2 linked regions of the Arabidopsis thaliana genome follow. The protein of the gene in region 1 purifies or fractionates together with the protein of each later gene. This does not show direct contact. Each region holds a gene or a part of one and is shown in the gene's direction. Other genes may lie near its edges.

Region 1 (8,592 bases):
TTATATCTTATAGATATGTATACACTAATTAATTTGTTTTTCTTGTATTCTGCATTTTGTCGCACATAAGCAAAATGGTAAAAGTCAAGTCAATTCCACTGACGACGACATAATATTCCACATAGTAAATATATAAAATCATGCAAAAGAAAATGAAATTAAATGGTTAGTTAAAAAGCAAACACTAGCTAGTTGAGAAATACGATTTTCTGACATGATGTTATTATAGGTAGGACCAAGGCCTAAGGCTGACAGAGAGAGATTCCCACCGAACAATGTTCTTCTAATGCTTGCTGGAGCTGGACTTTTATGGATGGGATGGTCCGGTTTTAACGGTGGTGCTCCTTACGCGGCCAACTTAACCTCCTCTATCGCCGTGTTAAACACCAACCTCTCGGCCGCCACAAGCCTCCTTGTATGGACTACACTTGATGTCATCTTCTTTGGCAAACCTTCTGTCATCGGAGCAATTCAAGGCATGGTTACTGGCTTAGCCGGCGTCACTCCCGGAGCAGGTTTCAGTCATCTTCTTTTCAAGTTTTTTGTTTACTCTAAGTCTCTAAGTTTATTTATGATTAAGGTTGAATTATGTGGAAACTTATTAATATTGCATTGTTAATTTATTATACTGACAAATAAGATATCTATTGCAGGTTTGATCCAAACATGGGCAGCTATAATAATTGGAGTAGTCTCAGGAACAGCTCCATGGGCCTCTATGATGATCATTCACAAGAAATCCGCTCTCCTTCAAAAGGTAATTTAGATCATAAATCCCATTTTAATTTCATAACCAACAAAAAAAAAAAAAAAATGTTTTACCTTATTAGAAAAACGAAAATGTTTCAATTGTAGAATTAAGGTATTAGTAATAACAAACGAATGATTTGAACTGTAATATTTTGATTGGGTTGAAATAAACAGGTGGATGATACATTAGCGGTGTTTTACACACACGCCGTGGCTGGTTTACTTGGTGGAATAATGACAGGGTTGTTTGCACACCCTGATCTCTGCGTTTTGGTACTTCCTCTCCCAGCGACCAGAGGAGCTTTCTACGGTGGCAATGGCGGCAAACAGCTTTTGAAACAGTTGGCTGGAGCTGCCTTCATTGCCGTCTGGAATGTGGTGTCGACTACTATCATTCTACTCGCTATTAGGGTGTTCATACCATTGAGAATGGCTGAGGAAGAGCTCGGGATTGGAGACGACGCAGCACATGGGGAAGAAGCTTATGCTCTTTGGGGAGATGGAGAGAAGTTTGATGCTACAAGGCATGTGCAACAGTTTGAGAGAGATCAAGAAGCTGCTCATCCTTCTTATGTTCATGGTGCTAGAGGTGTCACCATTGTTCTATGATTTTTCTTCTTCTTTTTCTTATTTATTTTTTGTGTATTGATTTCCTTATGACATTAGAGATGTGAATGAGTTATTTGTGTTCTGTATAGGTGGTAAAACTTCACTTTTCATATTTTTTGGTGTGTATTTGGAGTTAACAACCATTTGTGATTTTGTTGAAATGAAAACATAGAGTTCGTGAACAAATGTACCTTGTAACCATTTTAAATTCAGTTAAAGTAATTTCCTCAAGTCATTTGGCTAATAAGTAATTTCCTTAATCACTTTTTCCTTGGGCCACAAATAAAAAAGAAAAGCATGAGACTGAGACCATGTAATCTGGACTCGAGCTAACATTAGACCCATAGTTCTCTTGATATTTAGTGCCAAAGGCCCAACACCTAGTTTTCTTAAAATGATAGTGTTAACCTTAATTCCCTTATTTCTTAGGGATTTTGATGTGTTAATGTTTAATGAAGAACTTTCTTCCGTTTTATATTTTGTACAATATTTATGAAAATGATTTTTTATTTGAACAAACTAAAAAATATGAAGAGTTTTCACTTTCACGTATAAAAGCAAACATAAAATAAAATAAAAAAATTGGACAGATAAAAACAAAAATTGGTGTCTGAAATAATTGAACACTAATGAAGAAATTATTTGTCTATAAAACTCTGCCCCTATAATTATCAGCACTTTTAGTTTTTAGCCATAAAGGTTTCAACTTTTATCAAAGACCCAGCCTTTTTGCAAGTGGCGTGGTTTCACTCGTTGGGCCTATAAATAACAACTCAACCTCGACCTCCCACCATCGCCACTAAAACGAAATCGTGGTCTTACTCTCTCTTCTGAGTTCTGACCTGAGCACACACACAGAGATTTTGATTGTGTCACTCATGGAACCCAATATTTACCAACTTGCCCTCGCGGCTCTATTCGGAGCTTCCTTCGTTGCTGTTTCTGGGTTTTTCATGCATTTCAAGGCACTGAATCTAGTCCTTGAGCGTGGTAAGGAGCGTAAAGAGAACCCTGATGGAGACGAGCCTCAAAATCCGACCTTGGTGAGGCGGCGGAGCCAAGTTAGAAGGAAGGTTAATGACCAATATGGTCGCAGTCCTGCTTCTCTTCCAGATGCCACTCCTTTTACCGATGGTGGCGGCGGCGGCGGCGGTGATACAGGACGGAGCAACGGTCACGTTTATGTCGATGAAATTCCTCCTGGTCTCCCTAGGCTTCATACGCCATCTGAAGGTATGAGAACCAAACCTGAATTGATCAGATTAGATTGTGGATTATAAAAATTGATCCTTTAATCCTTTGATGATGCTGATAGATAGTTTGTGATTGCTTTTTTTCAGGGAGAGCTTCTGTACATGGAGCTAGTAGTATCAGGAAAACTGGAAGCTTTGTTAGACCAATATCTCCGAAATCCCCTGTTGCTAGTGCTAGTGCTTTTGAGAGTGTGGAAGAATCAGATGATGATGATAATTTGACTAATAGTGAGGGTTTAGATGCTTCCTACTTGCAAGCTAATGGTGACAATGAGATGGTGAGTTTCTTTATTTATCATTACTTTTTCAATCCCTGTTCTGTGATTGAATAGGTGGGTTTACAAGTAAGATGTTTTTTGCAGCCTGCAGATGCTAATGAAGAACAAATATCTATGGCTGCTTCAAGTATGATTCGATCCCATAGTGTGTCTGGTGACTTACATGGAGTTCAGCCTGATCCTATTGCTGCTGACATTCTTCGTAAGGAGCCAGAGCAAGAGACCTTTGTCCGTCTTAATGTTCCTCTTGGTAAGAATGGTCACTTTTTGTTTCGTTCTGTCATCTTGCCTTACTTCTGGTTCCTGTATGCTTAGTACTCTTTTCCTATTGTTACAAATCATGACATGTTTGTTTTATAAGTCCCACTACTTGAAAAGTTTTTTGCTAGTGGCAAGTAATTAAGTGGAGTTACGGACAATTAAATAAGTAGTCTTGAGTAAGAGAAGCAAGGGTCAGTTAAGGCTTTACTCAGTGTGGGAGCTGAGCCATTGAAATTCTTAGATTATAGTTTAAGAATTATAGCTTGAAACGGTTAAGACGTCAACACATATCTTATTCATATTTTACTCATGATCTGTTTAGAGGTGCCAACGTCCGATGAAGTTGAAGCCTATAAATGTCTGCAAGAATGTCTTGAACTGCGGAAGAGGTATGTCTTCCAAGAAACAGTTGCACCATGGGAAAAAGAAGTCATATCTGATCCTAGTACTCCAAAGCCTAATACAGAGCCATTTGCACACTATCCTCAGGGAAAATCTGATGTGAGTCTATACTCCTTATATATGTCATCAAACACCATGCATTGATGAATTAAACTTCCCAATCTTTGTTTTTACAGCATTGTTTTGAGATGCAAGATGGGGTTGTCCACGTGTTTGCAAATAAAGATGGTAAGAGTCCTAGTATTAAAATTCTAATGCTTCTTTTTCCTTTACTCATAATAGTTGATTTGGTTGCATTCTTTTGCTTTTCGAATAACTGACCCTTCTTCTGTTTCATAATTCCCAGCAAAAGAAGATCTCTTCCCGGTAGCTGATGCCACAGCGTTTTTCACTGACTTGCATCACGTACTCAAAGTCATAGCTGCAGGAAACATCCGGACTTTGTGCCACCGTCGACTAGTGCTCCTAGAACAGGCAAGAGTTTTATTTAGAGAAGAATGAATGTCAATAAGCAAGTTTCGTCTTGTTAACAGTATGTCTATTTTTTGTTTCAGAAATTTAATCTCCATTTGATGCTTAATGCGGATAAAGAATTTCTTGCTCAAAAAAGTGCACCACATCGTGATTTTTATAACGTTAGGAAAGTCGACACTCATGTGCATCATTCAGCTTGCATGAACCAGAAACACCTTTTAAGGTTTATTAAGTCAAAGCTCCGGAAAGAACCCGATGAGGTAACAATGGCAAACTATATGTTTTAGGATAGTATACAATTTGCTGATATGCAGATATGATAATTTCTTGCTCCTTTATACAGGTTGTAATATTCCGAGATGGAACATATTTGACCTTGAGAGAAGTTTTTGAGAGCCTGGATCTGACTGGGTAATTACATTTCCAACTTCTTAGAATTCCCAACTTAACTCTATCTGAATCTGATGGCTGCAAGACTATTAGATTACCCTCTTAGGAGCCTCCTAGTTGTTGCGCACCGCAGATTGCCTGTATTGCATTTTTTACCATTTTTACCATGACACCGAAGAAATTAACCTTTTTCCCTTTGTTTGAACATTGCACAGATATGACCTGAACGTCGACCTTTTGGATGTTCATGCAGACAAAAGTACCTTTCATCGTTTTGATAAGTTCAACCTAAAGTATAACCCTTGTGGTCAAAGTAGGCTTAGGGAGATTTTCCTTAAACAGGATAATCTCATCCAAGGTAATTGAATACTCCAGTCACTCTTATTACCGTTTTTAGTTCATTTGATGCATCAGTTATGCACTCTCAGTTGCCTGACATTTATTTTCGTTTGGTTTAAGGTCGATTTCTTGGTGAGATAACAAAGCAAGTCTTCTCTGACCTTGAAGCTAGTAAATATCAGGTAAACGCCACATGCATCTTTGTTATTTTTATTCTTGATCAACTGCAGTGGTCTTATGCATTTAGAACGAACATTATAAGAGAGGAACACTGTTAGAATCAAATCCATTCTAACTAAGCTTTTGATATAATGATTTACTGGGAATACATAGAGACTTAGGATTTGGTAATGGATCTCCTCCTATTCCCCCTTACAAATGCAAAGCTTGCTATTTCTTGTTGCATATGCTTTATAGCTGCATTAAACTTTAACTCATTTGTTATATTAGGAAAAGATATAGTAGTAAAATCCTTGGATTTTAGTCTCAGTAACCATATCAAACTCACACTCCCTCACATATGCGCATTGACTTGAGTTCCAAAAAACATCATGGCATTGCTCAAATTCTGTGTCAAGAAATCTTCTTGCCAAAGCAGATCCATAATTGCTCTGTTTTGTTTTTCCTGATGTCTACGTTGAACACTGCAGATGGCTGAATACAGAATATCTATATATGGCAGAAAAATGAGCGAGTGGGACCAACTCGCTAGTTGGATTGTGAACAATGATCTATACAGTGAGAATGTTGTCTGGTTAATTCAGGTTAGCCATCTCTTTGATACTTGTGTGCTCCATGTCCTTCCATGAGTGTATGTGTTTTTTTTGTCTCCGTGTGTTTGTAACATGACTGCTAACTGAGCTATATTTTCCTTGTTTTCTGTTTGTCTGCTCACTAGCTCCCACGCTTGTACAACATTTACAAGGACATGGGTATTGTGACATCGTTCCAGAATATCCTGGACAATATATTCATTCCTCTGTTTGAAGCCACGGTAGATCCTGATTCCCATCCTCAGCTCCATGTTTTTTTGAAGCAGGTTAGCATTCATATCTTCAAATAACCTCTAATCCGCATGTCTTTACACAATAAAGAGTTGGTTTGACTGGTTGCTGTCTCTTGTTTGCTATTTCAGGTTGTTGGATTTGATTTGGTTGATGATGAAAGCAAACCTGAAAGACGTCCCACAAAACACATGCCCACTCCAGCTCAATGGACTAACGCATTCAATCCTGCATTTTCGTATTATGTCTACTATTGTTATGCTAACCTCTATGTGTTAAATAAGGTACCATTCCTCTTAGTCGCTTCTGTAACTAACTTGGTGTTCTCAAAACTGTGTAATATGGAGTAACTATTTTTCTTCAGCTTCGAGAGTCAAAGGGCATGACTACTATCACGCTACGACCACATTCTGGAGAGGTGTGTTATTTCTTCCTTTGTGCTAGATAAACAGTTTTCAGTTACAGTTCAGTGGAATTTTAACATGTCTACAAATTTCAGGCTGGTGACATTGACCACTTGGCTGCTACGTTTCTAACATGCCATAGCATCGCACATGGAATCAATCTGCGAAAGTCTCCTGTGCTTCAGTATCTGTACTACCTCGCCCAGGTTTGTGGAGACTGCCTGCATGTATTACATATGTATTATTGTTTCTGTTCTAAGAAGACATTTCTTTTGACAGATTGGTCTGGCCATGTCACCACTGAGCAACAACTCTTTGTTTCTAGATTACCACCGGAACCCGTTTCCTGTGTTTTTCTTAAGAGGTCTCAATGTTTCTCTGTCTACTGATGACCCCCTTCAGATTCACTTAACTAAAGAACCTCTCGTGGAAGAGTATAGCATAGCTGCATCAGTAAGTCATAATCTTTCCATTATGCAGTCTTGCCACACATCATAGGCCTTGAAAAGTTGATTATATTTTTAAAAGTCTTATTAGTTATTACCTTTAAATGATTTATACTGATCTTCTGCAATTGCAAACACGAAGAACAATGAAATTTCTCTCTATACATCCTTTTCTTCTAGGTTTTAGTTATATTTATGTATTAACTGAAGATGATAACTGGATTTTTCAGGTTTGGAAGCTGAGTGCGTGTGACCTGTGCGAGATAGCTCGTAACTCAGTGTACCAGTCAGGTTTCTCACACGCCCTGAAGGTACTTGTTATATCAACATGGCCCATAGTATGAATGAACAAGATGTCTCTGTTCCGATCTACTAATAATACTAACTTGTTGAGATGTTCCAGTCGCACTGGATTGGAAAAGATTACTACAAAAGAGGACCTGATGGAAACGACATTCACAAAACAAACGTGCCACACATAAGGGTGGAGTTCCGTGACACGGTATGGAATGAAATATATTTATTCTTCACACAAGTTAATTTCTCTTTGTAGGAAAACAAATTAAAAATATGAAGTTGATGCAGATCTGGAAAGAGGAGATGCAACAGGTTTATCTGGGCAAGGCTGTTATCTCTGATGAAGTTGTTCCATAAAAACCACAATCAGAAATGGCAAGACGTAAGAATCCAACATGTATGTAACAACTCAATGATCTTATCACTTCTGTTACAACATTTTCTTATGATGTCAATGATTGAATTTCAGATTGCAGGGGAACAAAGAGAGCATTTTGAGAAGTATACGAAAGCAGGAACCTAGTAGATAGGGTAATAATATGAGTGGCTCTGTGCCCTGAGAAAGCGATTAGGCTGTGCCAAAATCTTATTGTTTTATAAAGCTTTTTAGATAATGAGATACAAAGAGACCAGTTGAGAACCGGTTTTAATATAATGGATTTCAGTTTTTGGATTACATACTGTTTTAACTTGGATTCAGATTCAATTTTTAATCAGAAATAGCATTATGTTCGAAATCCAATTTTGTTTGTTTGTTTTGGTTCTGTTTTAAACCATACTGAGATCTGTTTACCGGATTAAACACATGTTTTTGGGTCACATTGGTAGATTTGGCTTGATCATGAAGTGAACTAGACAAATGTTCCTTTTGTTTCATAACAGACTGAAGTATGGAATGTGTAAGAAAAAAGAAACTAAAGCGGGTCCCACTTTTCCGAATTATGGTATTTAAAACCCAAGTATCATAAGGCCTTAATAACAGTCCAATTCAGGCCCAATGGATAAAATCCTATGTCAAATAAAAGAGCTCATCATTTTCCACCGATAACTTTTCTCAGCTCCGACAAAAATGGCTGCAATCACCATTTCTTCCTCCTTGCACGCCTCAGCCTCTCCGCGTGTTGTTCGTCCACATGTTTCTCGAAATACCCCTGTGATCACCCTCTATTCACGCTTCACACCATCCTTCTCCTTCCCATCTCTCTCCTTCACACTCCGTGACACAGCTCCGTCTCGTCGTCGTTCCTTCTTTATCGCCTCCGCCGTCAAATCTCTAACGGAGACGGAGCTGCTTCCAATCACAGAGGCTGATTCAATCCCGTCCGCTTCCGGTGTATACGCTGTATACGATAAGAGCGACGAGCTTCAGTTCGTCGGAATTTCTCGGAACATCGCTGCGAGTGTCTCTGCTCATCTCAAATCTGTGCCGGAGCTTTGTGGCTCCGTTAAGGTACTTATCCATGATTTCATATAGAGGAGTAGCATGTCTGTTACTATAACGAAGGATTCTTTGTTTTGTTGTGGTTGACTTTTGTTTATTACTGTTCATAGATTTGGGAAGTGTTTTGGTAAATGAATACTACAAAAGTTCATCACTTTAGTTCCAGAGATAGTATTTCATATCATTAGGATCACTATTGTTTGCAAAACTAGAGCTAATGAAGTTCTTGGTTCTGTTGTTGGTA
Region 2 (5,554 bases), about 16 Mb from region 1:
AAAAATAAAAAATTTGCCTTTTGATACTTAATTTTTTGGATTGTTTGTGTCTTGTAATCTTTTTCAATTTTTGATTTATTTGTGTGAGATATGGAAAATACCCGACAAGAACTCAACCAATTTCTTTTGTCATGTTTTGTATTATGAATAGATAATAATACAATTTGTAAATATATATGATGGTATATCTTCTGGTTACAATTTTTATCTATTTAAAATTGTGAATTATTCCTTTTGACGAAATTTTTTTTAACTATTAATGTCATATTGCAGGTCACAAATTTTATGATTATTTTTTATAAAATAATAATCGTTGGAAACAAATATATTTCAAATAGTTGCCAAAAAAAAAAAGTCAACATCTACGTATTTTATAAATGATTAGAATATCTTTATCATCTAAGTCTTATTCCAATAATGATTGTTTAATACAATTATTATTCGTATTCAATAATGTGATGAAAATAGTAAAAATATTAAATTAAAAATTAACAACTCCGAAGAGAAAGCCAACACGACAAGCAATGTTGATTCCATGCTCTATTTAGCTAATCTTGAAACGGCACGTATTTTTGGTAAGGAATTAGGGTGTAATTGTATTGATAACAATATTATAATTTTCTAAGCATGATTGCTTGTTAATACTATAATGCAGCCACATAATTTCATAGATCGAAAACAATTATTTTTCTAAGCATATTTAAATGTTGACTTGTGAGTTAATTAGTAGATTTAGATCTCCATCTTTGGATTACATTTTATACACAAAAAATATTTATTTAAATTTGGATACGTGGAAGCTTATGTATGTGGAAATTATTGTATAACTCTATAATCTAAAGATATGTTTTTTTTTTAAAAAACGTAGATATCATTTGTTTGATAAATATTTAGGGAGTTAATTAAACAGTATGAGAGTTTCACTAGCAATTAGCATGTGGTTGTGTTGCATGTGCAAACTGAGATGGATAGAGAGTGGTTGGCAACAGCGACACTATTTTATTTTTTTACTATATAAATGAAAAGATTCCTAAATTTAGTAAAATACTATATGTCATTTTATATATAGTTTTAGGAGATTTTCAATTGAGATATATGACCATGACAACAAGGCACTAATACTCTCTAGCATAGAAACAGTAATGAAAACGCGGAAGCGAAACGTTTCAGAAACGAGAATCGTTTTTTTCCACTTTTTGTGGTCATCATTGGAAACCTAAATTTTTTGTCGAGAAATGAAGATTTTTCGAAAGGGAAGAATGTCGTGATTTATAGTTAGTGACACTTGCAAGTTGCAATTTTTGTAATTTTCGTCGTAGTTTACAAACTATTTGATCTTCGAAATCTCACTACTTGAGTTTTATTCGTGTAGAGTTTTAACTTATATAAGTAGCACACTAAATACAAAGATATAAATCACAGAAAACGATTAGACATAAGATAAAGACAGTTATAAAAGGGCCAAATTTAAGGAGGAACAAAATGATGAGAAATAACAAAACTTTCAAATTTCAACAACATGTATCGAAACGAGTCACTGAAAAATTATTATTCCACCAAGAAACCCACTAGCTGACTCAGAGACTTCCTTTGCATTTTACTCGTGCAATGTACCAAGGATGTCCTCGTCCCGAAACAGATGATACCTACGTCAAAAATCACCAACACATCGATTTAAGAATTTTACACAACTATAGGGTGTTTTTAGATCAAATCAATAGTATTGGGGTGATAAATGAAAATATTATAAAAATTAAAGGATCCGGTATACGTACTCTTTCTCGCCGAGTTTGACCTCCGTACCGCCGTACTCTTTCCCGTCTCTATCCCGTGAACCGGGTCCAACCGCTATCACTTTACCGGAATTCAGCGATAAATGAAATATTATGATGGGCCTATAAATACTGTAATGGGCCTTAAGTTAGCCCATTAATATTTTTTTTTGTATTTAGTATTTTTACGAATCAGTGGGGACTTGGCATTGAGCTCGAGAGACAGACACGGAGGATGGCGAATCAGAGTACAGAGACGAATCAACCGTCGAATATGCAGACTTACGGTGTACCGATTTACGCCGCCGACTGGATTCCGGAGGTAGATGTCAGATCCAAAATCATAATGGATCCGGAGAAATCTGAAGATGATGATGAGTCGTCTTCTTCTTCTTCTTCTTCCCGGAGCTGCATCGTTTTGTCCGGCGGAGGCGGAGAGGGACGAAGTGGAATCTCTAATGTCATATTAATATGCCGTGTTGATCTAAACACCAATTCTCTCTCGGAACAACCTGTAAGTAGGAAAGGTTTTATATTCTGTTCTTATATGAGTGTATAGGAGCAGATCTTATGCATTTGCAAGGTTTTGTATTTCCTATAACTAGATCGGATACTTATTTTCAGCTGGGTAGGCTTGTGGTTGGCTCTGATCTGCCTTATCGGATGGCTGTTCATCCTCGGGAAGGTGGTCTTATTTGCGCGTTGCCTAACAGTTGCAAGTGAGTAATTCTCAATTCGATTTCAAATGAAAGCATATGATCTTGAAGTTTCTGTATACAAAGTCGTAGTGCATGAGATTTTAGAGAGAAGTTCTGTGAGTTTATGGTTTGGAGTAGAGAGAAATTTACAAGAGATGTGGTAATAAGTGATGTTCTCTTGATACACAGACTGTTTCATTGGGAAGACATTATGAGCCGAGAGGATAATCAGGCTGGTGAGTCGGAGGAAGTGATTAAAGAGTTAAGAGATGTTGGACAACAGTTGGCTCTGGCGTTTAATCCGGAGGGGTCTGTTCTTGCTGCTGGTGCGGAGGTAAAAAAAGGATCTTTGATGCAATCTCTTTTTAATAACAGAGACATAAAACGTTTAGTGGTTCTTATGCATTTTGTTTTGATGCAGTATAGGATGGGACTTTGAGGGTTTTTAAATGGCCTAGCATGAATACTTTACTTAATGAGTCCCAGGCTCATTCTTCAGTTAAATGCCTTACTTTCAGGTTTGCTTTCTCTTATCAAATAAGGGAAATACTTGCTATCCGAAAAGTGGTTCATTCTCTTGGATGACAAAGGAATCATCTTTGAACAGTGATTGTAAACAGATATCCTGATAATGATAATTTTCGTCTGCAGCGAAAGTGGTCAATTTCTTGTATCTCTTGGCGGTCCAGTTTGTCGAGTTTGGGACGTGAATGCTTCTGCTGCTGTTGCCAGTCTATCAAAAGAGAAGGTCAGTTGGAATTGGCTCTTAGTGTCTTTTCAACTTTACATACACACTTCCAACATTATTGTATTGGATCTGATGAGTTTGAATATTGAATGAAGGACGAGATGTTTGCCTCCTGTAGATTCTCTGTAGACAGTGCAGGCAATGAAGTTCTTTACATTGCTGCAAACACTGGTAAACTTATATTCTGACATTACAAGAATATTGAACTATAAATCCTTCCTTCTTGTCACTGCTAACGATTGAGGATTGATTTTTTTGCGTAGAACGTGGTGGGAGTATTATAACATGTGATACAAAATTATGGAAAAGAAAATGGTCGAAGCCTATAAAAAAGAACTCTATATCAGCTTTTAATGTCTCAGCTGATGGGAAGCTTCTTGCAATGTAAGTGTATCTGTCTTCTCACTTTTGGGACCAACAGATAAGGATGATACTGTTTTTGGTAGTCATAATATATTCTTAATGCAGAGGAACCCTTGAAGGAGATGTTTTAATACTTGAATCGACAAGAATGCAAACTATCCAAGTCGTCAAGAAAGCGCATCTTGGTTTGGTCACAGCACTGACTTTCTCTCCTGATTCAAGGTTTTTCTCTACTCATTGGGGCTCAAGTATTTACTCTAGAACTATTGATTCAATGGTTCCAAACAAGCAAATAGACATATACAAATTCTGAAGCAAAGAAAATGAAATCATTGAATGGTTCCAAACAAGCAGATAGATTGAATTTGGGTTTGGTTTTGCAGGGGATTAGTGTCGGTATCTTTTGACTCAAGGGCAAGGCTGACCATGATTGAACAAAAGGGGGACAAACGTACGTATATATTTATGGTTTCCCCTCTTGCTTCTCCATTTTAACAAAAGGGTTTCCAATAGAAAACTAAACTAAAATGTGGTTTTTCGATGATGCAATTGCAGCTGGAGTAAGGTGGTGGCTACTGGTTTTATTGATAGTGTTGCTATACGTGGTTGCATACTATTATATGAAGGCAAAGGGTATCATACCTTAGAAAGGCCTTTAAGTGACCACACAGGACGATACAGCGGAATGGCTTGTAACCAACATATCATACGATTACGCTTTGAGTTAGCTTTTTATGTTTGACATCTACCAGAAACTTGCTTGCTTTATATCAATAAAACATGTAAACTAACACTAAAACAGCAAAAGTTACAATTTGTTTCCTCTTTTTTTTTTTGTAGACATAGTAAACTAGAAAACTATTATCATATGATGGATCAGTAAGACTCTTTCAACACTTCATCAATCTTAAAGAACAGAAAATAAACATATGGTTTCAACTTTCATTGCAGCTTTTTTCATATTAAAACAATGATAGTTACAATGTCTGGAGACTATATATTGAATATTCCCACAGGTTAGTAACCTTTTTTCTTTTCTGCGATTAGATTATTTGGTAAAACTAAGAAATGAAGATTACCAGAGAAAAGATTTTAATTATTGACGCTTCCTTTGGTAGAGAGAGTAACCAACGAGCGCAGACATCAAAAATGTCCATAGTACCTGATTTCACCATATTGGTTACTTTTAATCATTGATATAAACATAATGTGATTAGTTTTTTTAAAGCACAATGATGTTGATATGATACCGTATTGATGGTGTGCCAACGTTCGAGTCGTTTAATTCTTGATTGCATATCTTCTAAAACGTTGTCTATGGAAGAACCATCTCTTCTTGGTGATGATTCCGACACACTGTTACTACTTCCCTTAAAGTCGTCAAAAAGGCATAGAAGAACCATTTTAGAGACAATAAACCTAGAATGAGATAAAGAGGATTGAGGAGACTTTTGATTACCTGCGATTGTATGAATTCCACAAGCTCTTGCAACCGCGCTGCTTGCTGTGTATGTATTCCACTTGAACTTCTCTGGACCGGTGGCAGTCTTTCCAACACTATTTGAAGGTAACTCTTCATTCAAGAAAACACAAAACGGAAAAAATATTGACTTATGTATATAATAGGTAAACGATGTTCGAACTAAAGTTGTCTCGAAAAAGAAGTGGAACCTTTGTTGTGTATGAACCATCTAGTTTGAGAGCTGAACCAGCAGCCGTCACTGCTTCTTTGTTAGCGCCTTTGATCTGTATGTATGGACTTGGCACATCTTGGAGATGATCAACCTCAATAAGAATCTTTAAAAGCTCAACCAAAAAAAAAAAAAATCGGCTTTCTAATCTCAAGAAGCTTGTTTTTCATTTTAAACTAATAGCAATGTGTATACTCACCTTTCCGTCTTGGTAAATGAAAGCAGAGGCTTCGATATATGCCACTGCTTGATACCTGAAACCAAGAATAGAAACTATATTGA

The links. Proteins that work in one complex are often made in the same cells at the same time.
Region 2: the proteins of FAC1 (region 1) and STL2P fractionate together in Arabidopsis thaliana (co-fractionation; one study listed by BioGRID). This does not show direct contact.

The regions. Positions count from the first base shown.
Region 1 is NC_003071.7:16,032,439-16,041,030, reverse strand, and holds FAC1 (AMP deaminase, putative / myoadenylate deaminase), read left to right. Parts: upstream 1-2,058; 5' UTR 2,059-2,237; coding exon 2,238-2,592; intron 2,593-2,699; coding exon 2,700-2,890; intron 2,891-2,974; coding exon 2,975-3,140; intron 3,141-3,473; coding exon 3,474-3,652; intron 3,653-3,729; coding exon 3,730-3,781; intron 3,782-3,899; coding exon 3,900-4,027; intron 4,028-4,107; coding exon 4,108-4,287; intron 4,288-4,370; coding exon 4,371-4,438; intron 4,439-4,632; coding exon 4,633-4,775; intron 4,776-4,876; coding exon 4,877-4,938; intron 4,939-5,406; coding exon 5,407-5,520; intron 5,521-5,654; coding exon 5,655-5,795; intron 5,796-5,891; coding exon 5,892-6,044; intron 6,045-6,124; coding exon 6,125-6,178; intron 6,179-6,259; coding exon 6,260-6,370; intron 6,371-6,443; coding exon 6,444-6,617; intron 6,618-6,840; coding exon 6,841-6,921; intron 6,922-7,013; coding exon 7,014-7,112; intron 7,113-7,195; coding exon 7,196-7,264; 3' UTR 7,265-7,304; and 3 more. Other genes in the region: AMT2 (ammonium transporter 2), read left to right, coding at 230-515, 654-757, 925-1,359; CXIP2 (CAX-interacting protein 2), read left to right, coding at 7,977-8,357. UniProt on the Arabidopsis thaliana protein: AMP deaminase plays a critical role in energy metabolism. Essential for the transition from zygote to embryo.
Region 2 is NC_003071.7:210,889-216,442, reverse strand, and holds STL2P (SEC12P-like 2 protein), read left to right. Parts: upstream 1-1,969; 5' UTR 1,970-2,007; coding exon 2,008-2,286; intron 2,287-2,396; coding exon 2,397-2,491; intron 2,492-2,659; coding exon 2,660-2,804; intron 2,805-2,896; coding exon 2,897-2,988; intron 2,989-3,121; coding exon 3,122-3,218; intron 3,219-3,313; coding exon 3,314-3,389; intron 3,390-3,481; coding exon 3,482-3,602; intron 3,603-3,686; coding exon 3,687-3,803; intron 3,804-3,964; coding exon 3,965-4,032; intron 4,033-4,136; coding exon 4,137-4,228; 3' UTR 4,229-4,530; downstream 4,531-5,554. Other genes in the region: AT2G01460 (P-loop containing nucleoside triphosphate hydrolases superfamily protein), read right to left, coding at 4,678-4,743, 4,832-4,951, 5,041-5,154, 5,253-5,350, 5,468-5,526. UniProt on the Arabidopsis thaliana protein: Required for the formation or budding of transport vesicles from the ER.